Linked DNA regions of Diceros bicornis minor. The protein of the gene in region 2 purifies or fractionates together with the protein of the main gene of each other region. This does not show direct contact. Links are inferred from orthologs where the notes say so. Each region holds a gene or a part of one and is shown on either strand. Other genes may lie near its edges.

Evidence for each region.
Region 1: the proteins of MAP3K7 (region 2) and RIPK2 purify together in Homo sapiens (affinity purification with western blotting; 4 studies listed by BioGRID). This does not show direct contact. The link is inferred for Diceros bicornis minor from reciprocal best matches to the Homo sapiens genes MAP3K7 and RIPK2.
Region 3: the proteins of MAP3K7 (region 2) and CARD11 purify together in Homo sapiens (affinity purification with western blotting; 3 studies listed by BioGRID). This does not show direct contact. The link is inferred for Diceros bicornis minor from reciprocal best matches to the Homo sapiens genes MAP3K7 and CARD11.

Annotation. Positions count from the first base shown.
Region 1 is NC_080760.1:9,528,186-9,536,158, reverse strand, and holds the start of RIPK2 (receptor-interacting serine/threonine-protein kinase 2), read right to left. Parts: upstream 3,017-7,973; 5' UTR 2,941-3,016; coding exon 2,768-2,940; intron 1-2,767.
Region 2 is NC_080762.1:42,350,024-42,357,391, reverse strand, and holds the start of MAP3K7 (mitogen-activated protein kinase kinase kinase 7), read right to left. Parts: upstream 3,001-7,368; 5' UTR 2,821-3,000; coding exon 2,701-2,820; intron 1-2,700. UniProt on the Homo sapiens protein: Serine/threonine kinase which acts as an essential component of the MAP kinase signal transduction pathway. Plays an important role in the cascades of cellular responses evoked by changes in the environment.
Region 3 is NC_080765.1:11,558,803-11,565,701, forward strand, and holds the start of CARD11 (caspase recruitment domain-containing protein 11), read left to right. Parts: upstream 1-3,883; 5' UTR 3,884-4,052; coding exon of another isoform or gene 4,053-4,065; intron 4,066-6,899. UniProt on the Homo sapiens protein: Adapter protein that plays a key role in adaptive immune response by transducing the activation of NF-kappa-B downstream of T-cell receptor (TCR) and B-cell receptor (BCR) engagement.

The sequences.
Region 1 (7,973 bases), on a different chromosome or scaffold from region 2:
TTGAAACAATTCTGTACTTGCATCAAGAGACACAGGTCAACAGACAAGTTATTGTGTAGCATCCTCGCAGGGAGACAGGATCCACCTGAAGATTCCTGGCTCCTCTGAGAAAGAACTACAGAAAGGGCATGCTGGGCAAGTCTCAGTGATACCTAATACTACACTCTTTCCTCCTCACATTACGAGCATGAGGCATTCTTCCTTCTCTTGTGATCCTATTATGTGTCAGCCACTTTATATGTACTATCATTCTAAAAGATCAGCCCTCTAAAGTTGGTTTCATTATCCCCACTTTATACATAAGGGCACTTGGGCTCAGATAAACTAATAATTTTCCAATGGTCATGCCAAAAATAAGTTGTAGGGTTGGAGTCAGATTTGAACTGCAATAGTGGGACTCAAAAACCTGTCTTGTTTCCATTCCACTGCTTAATCAGAGAAGAAAGAAAGTTCTTGAAGTCAAATTTTGGGAAGATTGAATGAGTGGGAAAACACTCATTTTTTTGAGTGTTTGAGCCAACATAAAAATGTTTTTGTATTTTTAAAAATAAAAATGTAAAATATACCGTCTGTAGACATATCACCAAAATTACCCAACTCAAAATTTCAGTCAAAAAACAGTTACATCATCTACAGGGTGTTTGAACAACTGATCAGACTCATCTACTCATAAGGAGTTGGGAGATTGCTGGAAGGTCTACTCATCGAGCAGAAGTCAGCCATCACTAAAATAACATGTAACAGCACAGAAACTTTTTTTTTTTTCAGGTGATCCCAAAGAACAATGCAAACATTATCTGCACCAGAGCCCAAGACGCACATGTATTTATCATTTCCACTTTATAAGTCAGGAAATAGACACCCTGTGAGTCAACTGCATAGCTCAGCCCTATGCTCAGACTACATAAATACTGCTAATGGTAACATCTAGGTAACAAGAAGGAGAAAAGGACATGATGCAGTAATGCCAGTGTTCCACTGGTTTTTATGGATTCTTTGACAACAGAATTACCTCCCTCACCCAATTTAGCAAAGAATTTTAGATTATGAAAATTGTTAATGAGTATAGTAAGGGAACTCCATTCCTTGGCTCCCAAATGGCACAAAACCTAGATAAATTAAAATCTTGAGACGCAGCATCCAAAATGGGAGGATCAATTTGCTTTAGAATACCTAATAGGTCCTACAATGCTAGATTTCCATATATTTGCGTATAAGTATAAAATATATCCACCCTCTCTAACCAACCACCACTCTTCAAAGTTGATTATGTAGTCATAGACACACACACATGCTTGCCCAGCACTTGCTCCCCAGAATTCAAGGTCCAGGGTAAACAGACACTATACCCTGTATACAGGTCACGAGATCTGGATTATGGTCTAAAAAATGTGGGACCAATCTCTACAAGTGTCTCAAGTCTACTGTGAGATCTAGCCCATCCAAGCTTGACAGCAAGAGACAGCAAAGAAAAGCCACAGGCAGATTAAAGTTCAGTTAACACTGTCAGGGTTGAAGCTGAGGAATCTACCTGATATTGGATACCAACAGCCTCCGGCCAATCAGGCATCTAGCGAGATGTATTTTCACACTACACTTAAGGGGAGGAGAGGAGAATGTTGCAGTCAAGGAGGTTAACTCACTAATAAATGAATGCAGGGTCTAGTTAAATCCCTATCGGTAGGAAAACACACAAGACTAGTGACTAGTCCCACTGACTAACACGTACAGTCACGGTATATGGTCGAAATGTTTTTCTGGAAATAGAAACTAATACTAGCCTTCCCTTCAAACCCGTACAGTGCACTAAAATGGTTCCAGGATGTGAGAGACAATCAAAATTTTTGGTCATTTAACAGTCTTCCGATTCAGTTTATTGTTAGCAAAAACAAAACACATTTCCTCTTGGGACAGACTTGCCTATGAGAGTGCAAGCCGAAACTAACCTGCTATGTTGAATTTGGTATCTAAACTTAGATAACTACCCGTGATAAACCACAAACCAAACAAAAACAACAACAAAAAGCCCAAACCAAAACATCCCAGACTCGAGGAGCACTGTTCAATAAAAATACAATGTGACCCACATGTACAATTTTAAATTTTACAGTGGCAACATAAAAAAAAGAAACACGTGAATTTTAACAATATCTTATATTTAGCCCAATATATCAAAAATATCATCTCAGTATGCTAACAACATAAAAGTTTAAATGAGATACTATAAATTCTTTTTTTTTTTTTAGTACTAAGTGCTCGAAATTCGGTGTGTATTTTACACTAATAGCACATTTCGGTTCCGAGGGCCACATTTCAAGGGCTCAAGAGCCACTTGTGGCTAACAGCTACCTACCGGGCGGCGCAGCCCTAGAGCCCGATTTCAAAGCGGAAAAAAAAGGAAAAAACCAAAGCAGGCAAAACCCGCACTCACTATATGAACACACATCAACGTCAACCGAGAGGACGTTTCGAGTTGGGCCGTGACTGCCGATTTTTGGTGTACGGAGAGAGAGGGCGCAGCAGAGTGCGAGGGAAAGAGCACAGAGGAGAAGAGAGACGAGCGGAAGAGTGCGACTGCCGCATCTCCCGAGAAGCCGGCTCTGCCCACCAGGCCAGCCCCAAGCCTCGAAGGACTGCCTGGAGGTGGAGGGCTGGCGCCGACCCAAGTGGTCCCGCTTGGGGTCTAGAGCCGGCCCGCCCGGGGCCGGCGTGGCGGGAGGGCAGGCAGCCGAGCTCGGCGCGGCCGCGCGCCGCGGGAGCGCCCTACCTGGCGAGCAGCGGGGTGTGGATGTGCAGGTGCTTCACCGCCACCTGAACGCGCCAGTCCGCGTGGCGGGCCGCCGACACGGTGCCCGACGCGCCGCGGCTCAGGTAGCGCAGGTCGGCGAGCTTGTGGTAGGGGACGGTGGGCAGGGCGCTGCAGATGGCGTCCCCGTCCATGGTCTGGCGCTCAGCCGCCGCCGCCGTCCGCAGCTCCCGCGGTCCTCGGCCGGCGCGGCCCGCCCTGCCGCCGACGCCAGGTCACGAGGCCGCCCGGCCCCGCGGCCGCGGTTTCCGGCGCCAGAGCGGCTCCCCAGCTCGGAGACGGGGTCGGCTCTGCGGCGGCGCGCGCGGGAGGAGCCTCCTCTCCGGACGGCCTCCCCGGCCGTTCGGCCTGGCCGCCCGACTCCGCCCTCCCGCTCCTCAGGCGGCGTCCGCGGCGGCCACTGCGCGGGAGGGCCCGCCGGCCGCCGGAGCTCCGCCCTCCCGCTCCTCAGGCGGCGTCCGCGGCGGTCACTGCGCGGGAGGGCCGCTGCGGCGGCGGGCTCGGGCCGGGTGTCAGGGGCGGGCGGGGCCGGAAGCGCTCCTCCGGTCTCCTCTCCCCAACTCCCCGGGTGTGGCGAAGCGTCCCTCTGGGGAAGGCTCCCGCAGCAGCCTACTTTGGTCAGCGGGCCCTCACGCGGGCGCTGGGCCGCGCGTCTTGGGGGAGTCGGGAAACCCGGGAGAGGGGGGCGGGGGCGCCAGGGGAGGGCGCCGGAGTCCCGATGCGCGCGTGCGCGGCGAGCGCCTGGAGGGAGCGTCGGACTTCCAGGGCTTTCCGCTTCCTGAGCCCCGCGAGGCACGAAGGGTGTACGTTCATTCACATGTCTCCCTGGACCCAGCCTTCTTTCGCCCTCAGTTAGTTCAAGAGGGAAGGGCGATGATAGCGCTTTCGGAGTTCAACCCGGGCAGCAGGTTCAGGGGTCTAGCTCCTGTTACGTGCTCCTCTACTAGGGACTGGCTTGTCTCTCTCGTCTTCTATCTTATGTTCGTAATTACATACGGAGATTGAAAAATAACCTCTAGAGAATCCAGCCGTCTGACTCCAAATAAGACTGCAAAAATTTCTTATAGGTCCGGGAGAAATGCAATCAGTGTTTAATGCCAACCAAAAAAAAAGACTGCAAACATAGTTCCATCTTTTTAGTTTAAGCAAACACGTTTCTACTTAGATGACTATTTTGTAGGATGTGACTGCAAATATTATATACAATACCAAGTCCATGCTGGGCATTTAATGAGTTCTGAGGCAACAGTAATAAGGAATGCCTGAGGCGAGTGGAGGTTTTCCGCCTACAGAGAACGAATGCTTCCTGTATTTTTGTATTGCCTGAAATGACAGTAGCAGTGTTACTTTTCACAATATGCAGTGGGAAGTTGTAATGAAATAGTGTATTTAAAAAATTTTGATCGTTTAAAATAAAAGGCTTAGCTTTAAAGATATGACTGGATACTTTGTATCCGATTTCCAATTCACTCATTCAACCACTCAGTTAACAAACTAAGAGTTGCAGAAAAAGAGAACAAAAAGTAAACAGGGAGGGAATGACCCAAATAATAATTCAAGAAATTTTGCCAGGATGGAAGGACAGGGGTCTCCATATTGAAAGGGGCCAACAGGTACCTACAGTGAATGAAAAAAGACCTGTATTAAAGCACATCATTAAAAAGGTCAGACACTAAGAATAAAAGATTCTAAAAGTTTTCAGAGGGAAGAAACAAGAATAAAGGGATGAGAATTAGAGTGGCATTGGATTTCTCAACAATAACACTTTTATGCTAAAACACTGAAGTGAAATTTCTTCAAAGTTTTGAAGGACAATAACTTCCAACCTAGAATGCTGTAGTCGCTCAAACTACCCAAGTATAAGAGCAGAATAAAAACATTTTGATATATACAAGGATGCAAACATTTACTTTCCATCCATCCACTTTTTATTTATTTTTTTTTTTTTGAGGAAGGTCAGCCCTGAGCTAACATCAGTGCTAATCCTCTTTTTGCTGAGGAAGACCTGCCGTGAGCTAACATCTATTGCCAATCCTCCTCCTTTTTTTCCCTTTTTCTCCCCAAAGCCCTAGTACATAGTTGTATGTCATAGTTGCACATCCTTCTAGTTGCTATATGTGGGATGCCGCCTCAGCATGGCCAGAGAAGCGGTGAGTCTGTGTGCGCCTGGGATCCGAACCCGGGTGGCCAGTAGCGGAGCACTCGCACTTAACCGCCAAGCCACGGGTCGCCCCCCCCCCCGTTTTTTTTTTTTTTAAAGAAAGCTACTAGAGGCTGTGCTCCAACAAAATATGGGAGTAAGTTAAGAAACAGAGAGGGCCGGCCCCATGGCTTAGCGGTTAAGTGCGCACGCTCTGCTACTGGTGACCGGGGTTGGGATCCCGGGCATGCACCGCCGCACCGCTTCTCCGGCCATGCTGAGGCCGCGTTCCACATACAGCAACTAGAAGGATGTGCAACTATGACATACAACTATCTACTGGGGCTTTGGGGGAAAAAAAGGAGAAGGATTGGCAATAGATGTTAGCGCAGAGCTGGTCTTCCTCAGCAAAAAGAGGAGGATTAGCATGGATGTTAGCTCAGGGCTGATCTTCCTCTCACACACACACACACAAAAGAGAGAGACATGAGATCCAGAAAACAGGACCAGAAGAATGGAAAGGGAAACCCCAGAATGAAAGATATGTAGCAGAATTGGAGAGCAACTTATTTTCACTGGAGCAGGAAGATGACAGACTCCAAGAAGAAAAACTCTAAAATAATTGAATTTATAGATTAATTTTGAATATTTGGGAAATTATATTGATAGGTGTTGGATATATCTAATGAAATACGTGGAGAGAGAACTTAAAATCTAAGAAAGTGAAAAAAAGGCAATTATTAATTCCATGAAAAATAAAAATTATACAAGAATGGAAGCAGCATTTCTCCAAACTGTTCCATGGTGGTGAAACTTTAAGACTTTTCAGAGCTTTTGAAATACTGGTATATTGTAAATCTCTAAGAAGGAGAGAGCATGCATCATAGAGCTCTATAAAATTTATTTATATTTTTAATTGCATTACTTTTAAATGTACTTTTAAAAAAATAAATAATATATTCACGTTTCAAAATTTAAAAGTGTAGAAGACAGACAATACAATAGAAAATTGGGCAGAAGACCTAGACACCTCACAAAGGGTGATATCTAAATAGCAAATGAAGATGAAAATATATTCAACATCATTAGTCATCAGAGAAGTACAAGTTAAAACCACAATGCAAGATCACTACACAAATACAAGAATAAAATTAAAAAGACAGATACCAAGTGTGAGTGAGGATTTGTAACAATTGGAACTCTTGTACAGTGCTGATGGGAGTGTCAATTGGTACAATCAATTTTGTAAACCGTATGGCAGTTACTATTAAAATTGCAGTTATGCAGATCTTATCACTCTCTCCTAGGTATGTGGACACGTATATGCATATACTAGAATGTTCGTAGCTGTGGTATTTATAATAGCTTCCAACTGGAAATTACCTAAATACCCATAAACAGTAGAATGGGTTAATAAATTGTGGCACATTTATACAATGGAATACTAAACAGCAGTGAGATTGAACAGTGTATGACAATATTGATGAATCACACAAATATAATGTTGGATTAAAAAAGCCAGACACAGAAGAGTACATATTGTATGACTACATTTCTATTAAGTACAAAAGTTAACAAAACTAACCTATACTTTTAGAAATCACAATAGTGGCCACTCTTGTAGGGTGGAGGTAGTGACTAAAAGGGACATGATGGGACGCCTGGGATGATAGTAATGTTCTGTTTCTTGATCTAGGACCTAAACTCTACGTGCCAGTTACACGGGTGCGTTCAGTTTATGAACATTCTTTAAGGTTACACTTAATGTGTACTTTTCTCTGTACATGTATATGCTATACTTCAATAAAAAGTTATTAGTATATATGAAACAAATATATGTGTATATATATATATATATAATGTCTCTCTTTCATGTAATTAGTACCACACTATATACCTGTTCACCTTGCTTGTTTTTCATTGAACAATATATCATAAATATCCTTCCTTATGAAAACAAACAAGAAATAAAAAGCTTCTTCATCTTTTTTTTTTGCTGAGGAAGATTCACCCTGAGCTAACATCTGCTGCCAATCATCCTCTTTTTTTTTTTGCTTGAGGAAGATTAGCCTGGAGCTAATGTCTGTGCCAGTCTCCCTCTATTTTGTATGTGGGATGCCACCACAGCATGGCTGACTAGTAGTGTACGTCTGTGCCCAGGATCTGAACCTGCGAACTCAGGCTGCCGAAGAGGAGCACACGGAACTTTAACTACTAGGCAACAGGGCTGGCACCTCTTTTTTTTTTTTGGTAATTATATTTTCTTCTATTTATAATTTTTATTGTAGTAACATAGGTTTATAACCTTATATAAATTTTGAGTGTACATCATTATATTTCAAATTCTGTGTAGATTACATCATGTTCACCACCCAAAGACTAATTACAATCCATCACCACACACATATGCCTAGTCACCCCTTTCACACTCCTGCCTCCCCTCTTCCCCTCTGGTAACCACCAATCCACTCTCTGTCTCTTTGTGTTTGTTGTTGTTTTTATCTACTATATATGAATGAGATCATACAGTATTTGACCTAATCCCTCTGACTTATTTTGCTTAGCATAATACCCTCAAGGTCCATCCATGTTGTCACAAATGGCTGGAGTTCCTCATTTCTTATGGCTGAATAGTATTCCATTGTGTATATATACCACATCTTCTTTATCCATTCGTCCCTTGATGGGCACTAGGTTGCTTCCAAGTCTTGGCTATTGTGAATAACGCTGCAATGAACATACGGGTGCATATATCTTTATGCATTCGTGATTTTATGTTCTTTGGGTAAATACCCAGCAGTGGAATAGCTGGATTATATGGTAGTTCTATCCTTAATTTTTTGCGGAACCTTCATACTGTTTTCCGTAGTGGCTGCACCAGTTTGCACTCCCACAAGCAGTGTATGAGAGTTCCCTTCTGTCCAACACTTGTTGTTTCCTGTGTTGTTAGTTATAGCCATTCTGACGGGAGTTAGGTCATATCTCATTGTAGTTTTGATTTGCATTTCCCTGATAGTTAATGATGTT
Region 2 (7,368 bases):
TTCACCACTCCACACTGCCCTTACCACTTCTTGCAACCTAGTCCCCAATGTACATACCTTACAATTTATTCTAACATTTTCTACACTCTGATCCAGAATGGTAAAAACTAAATGATTTAAAAAAAAAAAAATCTACGTATGTTTCTGAGGCTGAGACCTTACATAACTGGATATCAGAACTGAATTTAGGAAGTGTCATGCTGATATTACTGAGTCACAACATTAGGAATTTAAGGATTAAAATCAGCTGATGCCTAAAAAATATGCATCTACCAAATGACTGCAAATTTGGTCTGTGGTTGGAGTTTTTTTCTTACATAGTTTCTAACTGAATTGATATAACGCTGATTCAATTACATTGTTATCTGAAAAATACAGAATACAATTTTCTTTATTTATAGGCAATATATTTGCACCATACAAAATACTGCAAACCTTGTAAAATACTTTTTGTTTCTGGTCATCTTCCTCTATTCTCTTATTCATGATTTTAACCTAGAAGCAGATTCTAAGTTGAGAAATAGTTACCGAGTGCCCACGGTGAACCCTGGATCATATAACACTGTTTTAATGTATGCAAATGATGATGGAAATTATGTAATAGTCTCAACATTAGAAAGATCCAAATTCAATCTTTAAAGTGAAAATAAACTGGCATTAAAAAATGAAAAAAACACAGCTAAATGACTGTCTAATATTAGAAATTTTCATCTAAAACCAAAAATCTACTCCCCAGGAATGTCCTAAATATACCAAAGACGGGTTGAAACATTGTCTAAACTGAAAGAGGGTCTTTGGAAACATAAAAATCTAATCAGAAGTTAAATGGCTTTGGTGGAAGAGCAACAAAATGATAATTGTCTCCTTAGTAACTTTCATTCTTCCAAGAAGCAAGAAGGTAAACGCTTTAGAAAGTAGTGTGTGGAAAACCAACCTTGTAAGACTCAAATAATGTAAGTCTGTGAAAGCATTTGGTAGACTATGAAGCACAAGTTATTATTATATAACAATTTGTAGTCTACAAGCACAGCAGTTCGCCACAGAGTAGACGTAAATGCTTATTTAAAAACTGCAATTCTTTTATACTGACTCACTGAATTTTTATTCTTAAAAAAGAAAGAATGTTAGCCACGAAAGCTGGATCAACTATCCACTTCTGAAAAAGGAATTTATCCTCAATAGAATTTAGCCTCAATAGAAAACACACACACACACACACACACACAAATTGCCCCCTTTTCAAAACACAGGTCCTTCTTTTAGCCATGTGACCTTAAAGCAGGTCAATGTTCCTCTCTGGAACTGTTTCTTAGTAATATGTGTCAAGCACTGTGTTTTGCACATATTGCCTAATAGGATCTATTATACACATAAAATGAAATAGAAATTATTATCCCTATTTTACAGTTATGGAAACCAAGGCTCAAAGGGGTTAGTTAGGAACCTTGCTCCAAATCACACAGCTAATAAGTGGCATAGCTGATATTCTGAACCTTCCTTTAACTTTAAAGGCCTCACTCTTCCCACTTACACTACCTTGTAAAATGAGGTTGTTCTCAGTGATCTCTAAGGTTACTTTATGCAATAAAAAAATACGACTGAGTAATCCATTATTCTTCCAAAACCCGCATAGAAAAAAATTTATTTATTGAATGATAACTATCCCATTACTTTTAGTTTGCCACTACCTAAAAATAATTTTGAACTTTTAAAGTAGAGATAACTCTTTGAGAGTCTACAAAAGAGAACATACAGGGTTCTTTATGGCATACGTTATGTAAAGTGCTTAATATATTTTAAAAATGATAAATAAATGGTAACTGATAGATACTATTTTCAACCAAAGTTTTAACACTTTCTGAAGTGTATCTTTAAAACATATAGTTTTTACTTTTCTAAATTTTATGGTTCTTAGAAACAGTCTACTTCTCTGTGAATCTGAAAAGAAGGGACGTATTAAAGGCACATATTACTTTGCTCTAAAATAACTTAAGGATGGATTCGGATTTTCTAACAGCGATTTCTGTCTGTTATGTTCTGGTTGTCACCGAAATCATTAGTTGGCTCTTCAGAACATGCTACTCGAGACATCTTTCCTTCTAGACCAGTCTACATTATTAATGGTGAAATTCATCTAAATTAGTCCAATTGATGGCAGAACATTTAATATTACAGCTACTGCTCTATGGAAACAGCGAAACAGAACCGTTCGGTACCCGGGGAAACACTTTACTAGACATGGTGATGTGCTAATTTACCAAACACTTATTGAGCATCCACTACGTTCTAGGCACCGAGCTAGGAGTCGAAGAGAATACAATCCTTGGTCCTTAAGAACACCACGTCGTAGTGAGCTGAAACTCCAAAACGGCCACGGTCTTTGACGAATTTACTACTTAGAGACATGGGAACTGGTGGACCACACTACCTCACCAGTCCATCCTCCTGTTTGAGATGACCCAAATCCAGGCACCAGAATATCAAATCCAAACTCAAGAGTGCCGAAGTGAGGAAAAAAGAGAGCTATCGGGGAGCAGCTGAACGCGGAGAGTTCCCTCTATACCCGGTCTCTGTGGGGACTCCGGGGTGGACCCTGCGGGGCCCAGAGGATCAGAGGGGCCGGGGAGGCGCCTTAAGAGTCGGGACCAGGCAGAGGCGGGGACAGGCCGGGGCCGGAGCCCCGTGCCAGGCCTCGCTCACCTCTTCCACCTCGATCTCCTTGTAGTCGATCTCTTCAAAGTTGAGGACTTGGGTGGGTGCTTCGATCATCTCACCGGCCGAAGACGAGGAGGAGGAGGAAGCGGCGGAGGCTGTAGACATGATCCCTTGTGGAGCCCGGGGGGCCCGGGGAGGCTGCCGCCCGGACACTCCGGGGGAGACCCGCGCCCACCCGCCTCCGGACCGACCTTCAGCCTGGAGCCACGGCGATCCGCGGCGGGGACAGAAGCAGCGGCCACAGCCGAGTCCCGGCTCCGGCTCCGCTGCGTTTTCCGCCGCCGGGCCCCGCCCACTAGACTTCCGGTTCCGGCCTGAAATCGGAAACAGGAGGAGGGCCGTGAGCTCAAGGGAGGGGAGGGGAGAATTTTGTGATTGAGCCAGAGAAAGGAAGGACAGGTTGGGGGTGTGGTAGGGGAGGGTGAGAGGCTATCTTGGGCCTGTAGAACAAATTTCGCGAGATCTTTGTTAAAGGGCCTCAGCAACCGGATGATACCGCGAGAGCTGACGAAGTGTCGTAATTAAAATGCGCGAACGGAAGTGGCGCGGAGGACGACGGGATATTGGTGCGGTTGGTCCTTTAGCAACCCGCGGGAAAGATAAAAGCTACGTTTTTAACTTTGCTTCGTGAACTACGTTAAGGCCCCGCTTCCTCTTCTCTCAGAGACCTGCAGACGGACGGGGTGGTGTTGGACTGAGTTTTTGTGACGAAGCTTAGTTTTCAGCTAAGCTAAAAGTAAGCTAAGCAGAACTGTTTCTTTAAGAAGCCTTGGAAAATGTGTTTCCCTCAATGTGGTATATGGAAGGAAGCGGTTGCTACTGTTACTTTGAGCCAGGTTGCTATTGTTACTTTGACGCTATCAGATTCTAAAGCAAATAATACAGAGCGAGCCACTGCATGTAACCTGAATAACACTACGAAGGCTGAGTACTCACGAATAGAAGTTAATATTAGGTAAGGGAGATATTTGTAATTTGGCATAATTTGTGTTCATCTGAAGTTATGGGTTATATTAACAGTACGTATCGAGTGCAGAGCACTGTGCTAGATGCTGTGCATTTATAACTTAATCATTAACAAAGGCCTTGCAAAATAATATATATTTTTTCCATTTTCAGGACATGAGAAATTAGGCTCAGAGAGGTTAAAACAATTATGATTCTCACAAGCTGGTAGAACCTGTCAGTATATCTCCGGATAGTATTGCCTGTGTTGTGCTATCAACACAGTTTTTAGTTTTAAACTAAATGTTAGTTTTTATTTAGTCGGTTTGACCTAAAGACTAACTGGGAAAATTGGAGTTCGAAATGAAGGTTTAAGGACCCAAGGTGAAAGCCTGTGAATATCAAAATCTGAATCTCAGTAAGAGACCAAAAAGGAACAGATAGGGAGATAGTCAGGGGAATGATGATCCAAATATCACTGGAGGAGAGCTTTCTTGTTAAAGAGCAGCCAACCAAATAAATGCTGTACAGAAGTAAGTTAAACACATTTGGGTTAGCAAATAGGTCATTTGACTTGGCGATCAAGAGGTTATGAACTCCTGGAATACATTGTCTTTCTTCATTCATGGTTCTAGTAACACTCAATGATAGTTTGGTGAATGGATAAAAGAATGAAAGAAAGAATAATTTCTTTTCACTGTACACTCTCTGGATGATCTTACCCAAGATCTTGACCACCTATACTGCTTATATGATGATAACTCCCAATCTCTCCCATTACTCAAATTTTTCATGAATTCTGGACTTATTGGACATCTCTATTTAGATATAACATAAACACCAAAACTTGAAGATTCCAAAAAAAAATTGAAGTTACCACCCACCACAAATACATTCTTCCGTGCGCATTTTCTGTCTTCGTGAAGGATCCCATCATCTACTCAGTTGTCCAAGTGGGAAATCAGGGCTTTATTTCTGCATGTAAAACGATGGTTAGGGCACTGATAACCAAATAGAACCAGATTAAGTCAATGGGATAACCATTTTTATCTGTCATTTCTCTACTTGAATTCCCAAACTAGGATGGTCACCTCTTAACCTTGTGCTATCACTCTGTGCGTCATATCTGATTTCTCTTTACCACCTTGATGTTAATACAGTGGATGCTATCAAGTGGGAACTCAAGAAATATTTGTTATATATTCTGGATGAATGAATAGCTTTTGTCAGTCCTTCGTTTCCCTGGAGTGCAAGATCTGTTTTGTATACCTTCAGTTTAGGACTAGAATCCTGCTGAGAAGGGACTAATCACTACAGCCCTGATGTTGTTCTCCTGCTTGGTGTTCCCACAACATTTTATGAAAAGTATCAAACATACAAAAGTTGAAAGAATTTTACAGTGAACACCTATGTACTTAGCAAGAATATTCTACCATTAACATTCTAGTATACTTGCTTTATCATATACCTGTCCATCTGTCCATCCACCCATACAAACATACATTTATCTTTTTTGATTGAATGCATTTCAAAGTGGATTTCCTGCATGATTTTGACCGTCTACCCCAATACTTCTACTTTTGTGTTTTATCCACTGATTTCGACTTCTGATATTGATACTAGTTTAAAATCAATTCTTGTCCTATTTGCTTGCAGACCACCCTTTTTTTGGTCTGCATGGTGCCTTTTCACTAGCTTCTGATAATAAAATCCCAGCAATGTTCATGTCTGTGAATCCAGTCATCCCCCAAATGCAGTCTACCTCTTCCATTCTGTGATTGATTATGTGAGCTGGTAAATTCCCATTTTTTCGTTTAAGCTGATTCGAGTTGTATTTTTGTCACTTGCAATCAAACAATCCTAAGTAATACAGTTTGAATCCAGAGAAATGAGGGAAGGGAGCTGAACCCATTTTAGTTCACCCCAGTTTTGACTTTGCATCCCCTTTAACTTCTTCAGCTTTCATGAGTTAAGGATGGAAGCTTGGACGTCACAATTTCATGTCAACTTCAGTCACCAGTCTATTGTGTCTCTACAAATTTCCAGAGATACATATCAAGCTATTTAAGTGGTCTTTAAGTCCCTCCCAGTTTGATCACTCTCCACCACCCACCCTCATGTTAATGTCCTAATAACTACTCTAACCTTCAACTCTGTCTTCAATTTTAACACTTTTATACTATCCAGGGGATGAGGGCCAAGAGTTTCAAAATCCATTTCCCAACATCTCTGAATGTTCTAAATGGGATTCTCATCCTATTTGCCTCATTTTGGATATAAGGACACCTGGCACCTGTTTTCATGGAGACTTAGCAGAAACAGATTAAAATAGTTCCACTTTAAAGTTCTGTTGCATTGGCGTGTGTAATACATTTAGATTAACTTTAGATAAAGTGTTTCCTATTTTATCAGTCAGTATCACTTTTGTTATAAGTAACAGGAAACTCAACACATAATACTTGAAACAATAAAGGGGATTTATTGGCTTAGTTAAGTGGAAAGTCAAGAGGTAGAAGAGGCTTCAGGTGTCTTGATTCATAAACTTAATGTTAGCATCAAAAATTGAGTTTCCATTGTCTTCTGCCTTTTGTGGTATGTGCCATTGCTCTAGAACAGTGTTTCTCAACTTTTGTTTTCATTATTGCCCCCCGGCTCCAGGAGCCTTTTAAGGTTGTTTTAAATGCCTTCCCAAAGTTTTAATACCACGGATATACTGTGTATCTGTTTATGTACTGTATGCATATTTATGCTTTATACATAAAAAGTGTTGTTTTTTTCTCTCCTTAATTTTCACCGCCTTGGAGGTGATATCATCCCCATTGAGAACGCACGTTCCAGCAGTTTCATTTTTCATATGACATGTCACACTGTCCAGTACAATAACAGAGAGCATCTTTTGGTAGCTATCTCAGAAGAGCAAAGAACTTTCTTTTTCAAAAGCCCTTGACAACTGTACCCTTGAGTGAGGAATGGGGAACAGGAGAGTTGAGGTTGCAAATATCTTGTTTAGTTTAGATCCAGGACTGAGAAAACATGGACTTTGAGAAGGAGGAGCTGCTAACTACAAGAAAAATCTGAAGACTCTTAGGAAGGGCAAAGCAGGGAATGGTTGCTGGGTATACAGTCAACAAATGTTCATTATTCATATGTCTATTCAGGTTGAGCTCTATACCTAGAAAGTGCTGTCTTTACTGCTTGTCCCAGAACCAAACTAGCCCAACTCAATCAAATATTATTCTTTCCAGGAAGTTCAGAAATAGTTTTCTGCTGTACTATATTCAAAACTGCAGTACACAGAGGATAGCCAACCCCTTAGCAATTCAGTGACACTGCTGGAGAGCAGCTCCCCAAATTCCTGCATTTCTTTGATATTTGAGTTCATTCCAAATTTTCTACTCCCCACATCTTCATCTTAGGTCTTTTGCAGCCCATGGAGCTGCTGGAAGGATTTGTGTTCCAGGTACCAACAATGTGGCTAGTAAGAGTAGGCCTGCGAAAGTGGAGTAGAGGCTTCTGGCAGGTGCAGCTTCAGGGCATTCTCTGACATTGCATATAGCTGAAACTTCTGTTTGCAGCTAATGTTCTTTTTTTCCGCCTCAACCAAGCTAGCTGCAGGGTAACTGCTTTGGTGGTGCCATGTGTCCTGCAGATAAAATCTCCATCATTGATTTTGAAATACTTGATATGAAAAAGTTGAACTGGTTTCAA
Region 3 (6,899 bases), on a different chromosome or scaffold from region 2:
TGGGGGGCACTGCTTTAGGGGGCCCAGGCAGGGGATGGTCTAGGCAGGCTGTCCCTCTGCTTAATGTCACATGGGAAGTGGCTTCCTTGGGCCACTGCCCCCATTCCAAGAGCCCTTGACCCTCAGAGCAGGTTTCATTAAAAACATTTCTTTGCCTTCGCCGGGGGAGCAGCTGAAGCCACACAGAGGCAGGGTAGAGGAGGGAAGTGTCCAGAGAATGCTCCAGTCAGCCCTTCCATCCATCCATCATTCAGTGTCTGCCCCGCCTTCCACACCTGCGCTGCCGTCAGACCAGATAGATCTGAGGGGTTCCGCAGGGGAAGAACCACACCCATATGCTGCCCCCTCTCCCCTGCATAGCCAGTCCTGGTGGTCTAGTGGTTAAGATTTGGCGCTGTCACCACTGCAGCCTGGGTTTGCTCCTTGGCCAGGGAACCACACCAGCCATCTGTCGGTTGTCATACTGTGGTGGCTGTGAGTTGCTGTGATGCTGAAAGCTATGCCACCGGTATTTCAATACCAGCAGGGTCACCCATGATGGACAGGTTTCAGCAGAGCTTCCAGACTAAGACAGACTAGGAAGAAGGACCTGGCCACCCACTTCTGAAAAAATTGGCCTTGAAAACCCTAGAAGAGTTGGGGCTTCTGTTTACGGGCCTTCTGTCTTCCAGAAATGCATCGCACCTGTCCACTTGATTACTTTCCTGGCACCTCTGTTAACTCATCGCCCACCGTTCTTTGCTGTCATTTCAGCAGGTTTTCAAAGAGGAGGTGAAAGTTTGTATTTAGTTCACTGTCTGGAACCAGAAGTCCTTATTCAAAGACTTTTGAATCACCTTCGTTCTGGGGTCACAGAAGAATCAAGTTTTAAAAGGACATGCCTGGGCGGGAGGGAACTTTCTGGGTAATGGTAGTGTTCTACATTATATCAACACTGTCCCATAAAAATATAACGTATAATTTTAAATTTTCTAGTAGCACCATTAAAAAAGAAATGTGAAATTCATTTTAAATTTTATTTATTTATTTATTTTTTCCCCCAAAGCCCCAGTAGATAGTTGTATGTCATAGTTGCACATCCTTCTAGTTGCTGTATGTGCGACGCGGCCTCAGCATAGCTGGACAAGCGGTGCGTCGGTGCGCGGCCGGGATCCGAACCCGGGCCGCCATCAGCAGAGCGGGCACACTCAACCGCTAAGCCACGGGGCCGGCCCTGAAATTCATTTTAATAATTTATTTTATTTAACCCAACATATCCAGAATATTATTTCAACATCCAATCAATATCAAAATTACGAATGAGAGGTTTTGCATTCTTTTTTACATACCATGTCTTCAAAATCTGGTGTGTCTTTTATACTTATAGCACCTCAATTCAGACACTAAATTTTCCTTGAAAATGTTTGACCTGTACTTAGATTTTGTAAAATTTACAGATGAAAAAGTAGATTAATATACTCAAATTGCTCTCAACATACTTAAAATTTTCCAATAACAGAATCAAATGTCAGTTTTAGATTTTAATTAAAATTAAATGGAATTTAAAATTTGGTTCCTTATTCACACCAGCCACATGTCAAGTATTCAACAGCCAGTCGTGATCAGCGGCTGCTACATTGGACCACACTGTTCTATATCTTCACAAGGATTTTGGTTACACAGTATAGACATTCGTCAAAACTCATTTCATGATGTAGTTAAAATCTGTATGTAAATTTTACCTAAAAAAATCTCTCTAAGTAATGATATGCATGACGAAGGATTTAAAGGTGAAGTACGTTGATGTCTTCAACTTACTTAGAAATGCATCCAAAAAAAAAAAAAAAAAAAGACGGATTGATGGCTAGAGGGATAGATGGACAGATATGTGATAAATTTGGCTATAAATATAGCCAAATGTTCACTGTAGAACTAGGTGGTGGGATATATGGGTATTCACTATACAATCCTTCTAACTCTTCTGAATGTTAAATTCTAAGGTGTTGGGGAGAGAGAGACATGTCTTCAATGAACTATACCTGCTTGTAACCCCACCACTAAATCTGAAAAACATGATGTTGGGTGAAAGAAGCCAGACCCAAAAGAGAATCCACGTATGGCTCCGTTTATATAGTTTTTGAACTTTACAGGCAAGATATCAGATAGAACCGATCTATGCTGTTAGAGATCAGAATGTGATTATCCTTGGTGTGGGGGAGGCGGTGACTAGAAGGGGGTGTAAGGGGGAGTTCTGGGGTTCAGACAAAGTCCTATGTTTTGCTATGGGTGGCGGTCACGTGGGTGTGTTGGTTTTGTGAAAATTCATCAAGCTTTTTGCAGAATTTGTGCACTTAACTGTGTATATCTCTCCATAATCAGTTTTGTTGCTGTTTTAAGGCATGCCTACCCTTCATATCCTGCATGAGGGAAACCAGAGTTCTCCTTCAAACCGGCACTGCCTGATTTACAGGCTTCTCGGAGTGCAAAGGAGATTTCTCCCTGGTCCCCAGGAGTCACTGGGCACGAGGATGCTGTGGGCCTTGGTATTTATTTTAGGAATTTTCCCACTTTGCAGTTCTTGATTGCGTTTTTGAACACGCTTTGCAGAAAGCAAACTTGTGTCTTCCTTAATCCCTGGCGGGTGTGCATTAGTACAGCCTGGCTCCTCAAAATTGCCAGGACTGTGAATGCTCTTGCGCTGGGGCCACACCGCTGTTAATTATTTATCTTTTTGCTTAGTGGTTGAATTTATGGAACGGCTTTCCCTCCGGGAGCTCAAGGAGCTTTTCTCAGAGAACTTAAAACACGAAACAGGAGGGTATGTTCGCTAGCTGTCATAGGGGGAATCAAAAGAGGGGGAGGAGGGTGAGAAGAGAGTGGTAAACTGAGGCAGAGCAGAAGCAGAGGTTGGGGGCTGGGGAAACGGTGGCGAATCAGCAGTCGGGAGACTAGAGCCCAAGATTCTCTGCATGTTCCCAGGTCCTCCACAGATTTTCAAGTTCAGGACTCAGATAAAACCTCGGGACTTTCCCACCCATACAGTACTTATCGTGAAAGAGTGATGCACCCAGAAGCCTACGCCATGGCTTTTGGAGGAAACTACTAAAACGACGACATCCAGAAATCAGTTTCTCCTACAAGTGTCCTTCACCAGGACTGAGAGCACTAGCAGGGGTGGCTGTGCTGGGCCGAGACAGCGGGGTGAGGAGGCTACAGGTAGACTGTCACTGTAAAGTGTCCAGAAGGGGTGTGGGAGCACCGTGGAGGATGCTGACGGCCAGGCAAGCCCCAGGAAGCTTCCAGAACAAAGGCTGAAGGAGGAAAGAGGCCTGCGGTTCCCACGCTGCGGAGTGCCTTGCTTCTCACTCCTTTGTGGGAAAAGCTTCCGCCCCAAATCGCAAAGACACAGTCTGGAAGTTCTCCAGAATGTGGCCAATTCCTCTAAAATGACAGCTGCCCAAACCTCCCACACAGAGCCTGGAGAACCCAAAACCAGGCGTCCCTTCCCAAGGCCACACCTGGGTTCTGGCAGGTTTTCTGGGCCAGGGTTAGGTGGACTTGGGGTCAGAGCTCGGTGGGGCTGACGGCCCCAGCTGGGGTCCAGCCTCACCCTGCCTGGGGCAGGTGGCCTGGCCCCTGGGGCCTGCCCGGGTCTCCCCACCCCTGGTCCACCCGTCGCCGGTCCCCGCAGCGCCCCCATCCCCGGGTCCCCCCACCACCCCCACCTCGTTACCGATGCCTCCTCCCAAGGCCCGGGACCCAAACTCCGCCCCCTCCCCCTCTTCCTTATCTCTTTTTCTAACCTTTTGCATTTTTTAGTCTCATTTCCTGTCGGGTTTTGCATTTCCCTCCCCCGCCCCTCCCAGCCTGTGACACACTTTCTCTCCTTTTTTCTCTTTTGCCTCCTCTGGCCTCCGGACTCCTGCCCGGGCTGCGCGCAGCCCCCTCCCGGCCCTGCAGCCCCTGGGCGGGCGGCGCCCCTCGGACGGTCCGGGCGGCGGGGACCGAGGGCCGGGGCGCCGGGAGGCAGCCGGCGGCCTGCGCGGAGGAGGCGCCCGCGCGGCTGGCGGAGCATGAGCGCCCCAGGTAGGCGCGGCGTCCGCGGGGGGAGGGGTGCGGGGGGAACGCGGTCGTGGTGGGGGATGCGCCTGGGGGGAGCACGGAGGCGCCGCTGGGGGGATGCCGCGCGGGGCGCCGTGGGGCGGGGGGCGCGAGTGGCTGGCCCCGCTCGCCCCCGCGGTGCTGGGCCCCCATCCCTCTCGCGCCATCTCTTTTTCCTACTTCCCCTCCTTCTCTTCACCCTTCCTTCCAAACCTTTTTCTTGCTTCCACTTTCCACCTCCCTTATCTCTCCTCCGTGTTCCTCTCGGATCGTCTGTCTCTAAGTGGCTTCCCCTGGCAAAGTCCTCGCGCCCCTCAGAGAGGACAGGGATGAGTGGGGGGTCGGGGGCAGCGGCCCGGCAGGGTGCCCCTCGGTGCACCTGCCCCAGAGGGAGGAAAAGAACCTTTTTTAACACCTGAAAGGACAGGAAGTTTCCAGACCACAGCCAGGCCTGACTCAGAGGCTCCTGAGAAGGTGGGGCCCCCGGGGGTAGGAGGGGAGAAGGACAGCCCCTCCCATGGGGAGTGACGGCAGGGGCCCGGGAGGGGCCAGAATGAGGCCCTAGTGGCCTCGGGCCTGGAGTCGCCTTCCCCGCGACACTTGCCTCCCGCAGGACACTGCCCAGGCCAGATGGCCTCGGAAGCTCTCCTGAGCTCTGGGCACAGGGAGGGGAGCTGGGTTTCTGTCCCTTTAGGGTTCAGAGCACAGTTGGAGGGGGCCACAGGGGGACAGTTATGCTGTAGGGAGCAGCCTCCCCAGCTGGGCCTGCCCCACCATCAACAGGTTTGTCGAAGCTGGTAGCTCATGAGTGTCAACAGAGGGCCACCTGCACCAACTTGGTCTTGGACCAGACTGACCTGTGTGTCCAGCCTGTTCCCAGAGCCTCTGATTTGTAGGTGAACAAGTTTCTCCTGACATTTATGACTCCTCTTGAAGGTGTAAGGTTACTGACCTACCAGAAAGGAGAAAAACGGTCAGTCACTCAGTCACTCAACAATTACCGAGCAACTACTCTGTGTGTAGTGTGTGCTGGAAATCCCGTGCGCCACTGATTGATTCGAGGACAGGCATGTAGCTCAAATGCTGCGCTTCTGTCCTTTCCCTGAATCTCCACTTCTCTCCACCCCGACGGCAGCTGTAAAGAAGTGATGGTTCCCAGGTGGGCCAGGGGTGACCTGGGGCCAAAGGGAGCCTCGGACCCAGCCTTGTCACATCCCAGAAAATGGTTTGGAGGTACGCACCCGTATCACAAAGGAAGGCTGGTAGCCCCACCCGTCCAAAGTCTTGAGTCTGCAGGTGAATGATCCTTTGTGTGATTTTTTTTAAATTGTGGTAAAATCCACATAACACAAAATTAACCATTTTTAAGTGTACAGTTCAGTGGCATTAAGAACATTCACGTTGTTGTACACTATCCATCTCCAGAACATTTTTGTATTCCCAAACGGAAACTCTGTCCCCATTAGACCCTAACTACCCCCGCCCCCATTGTACTTTCTGTCTCTATAAATCTGACTGCTTTAGCCACCTGACATAAGTGAACTCCTACAGTTTTTGTCTTTTTGTGACTGGCTTATTTCACTTAGCGTAGTGTCCTCAAGATTTATCCATGTTGGAGATGTGTCAGAATTTCCTTCCTTTTCAAGGCTGAATCATACCCCGTTGTCTGGATGGACCCTGTTGTGTTTGCCTGTTCATCCTTTGTGATCCTTTAAAGTGACTTGTAAACATAACTCTTCTTCTAAAGATGATGGGCCTTGTTTGAGTCAGTCAGTGGGCACTGTCTAGGTGGCGCTGTGCTGTGCGTCGTGGGGACACACAGAAGGAACGTGAGACCCAATGTCCCTGCCCTGAGTGGGTCGTGTGTACGGCGTGTGTGTGCTGTGATCCAAGTGTGGCTGAGACTCACGCTAGATGGGAAAGAGTTGAGGGAAGGGAGGATGGCGGGAGGCACATTAGGAGATGGTAGGACTCAGAGGGCCCAGGGATTGATAGAAGGTTCCAGGCGGAGATTGTGCTGGAAGAGCAACCTCCTGACGTCCTTCTCCACTTTCTTACGTAGTGTTTCTCCACCGCTGTGATACGAGACTTGCTTCCGGGACTGAAGGGCTGTGGCTGGTTTGGTGGCGAGGGGAGGGGGTGGAGGATAACGAGGCTGCTCCTCTGAGTATCGCTCCTCATAGTACTTCGTGCAGGAAGGCCAGATTGAGTGCCCGACGTTCAGATTATTGTGAGGGAAACGAGCGTCAGATGCTGATCGCGGAGCCTCCTCATGTCAGTTTAAAACTGCCTTTCCATCTCTCTTGCTTAGCCGCTGCACCCAGCCTCGAAGACAGTGCCTCCTGGTAATTGGGACGGGGGTCAAGTCCCAGGTGGGCCAGAATTCCCAGATGAGCCCCTGACACAGAGAGTGACTGCTGTTGCTTTGCAAAACCAGATCTGTGAAACTTGGGTTAAAAGAAAAAGTCAGGCCAAGGGAAGAAGGCAACCACCTTTTGGGTCTGTGGCTGTGTGGGAGAGTGGGAAGGAAGGTCACACTGTGGCCCTGGACATGTGTTGCAGTCTCGACTGCTCATCTGTGGTCGCCCTTTGGCCTTGGACAGACCTGTCATCACTTCAGATCTCTGAGGGTCCTTTCTCTCCAGTGAGCTCAAGGTATTAATACTGATTATTTTCAGGATTGTCAGTTACACCAAGCGTAAAATGAAAAAACATGAGATGTGACATACTCTTAACTTTGCTGTTATTCCCGAGATCTGGTTGGACGTTGAGGTCCAGACCTAGGGCGGGAATGCCACCTTTCCCACAAACACCAGCTG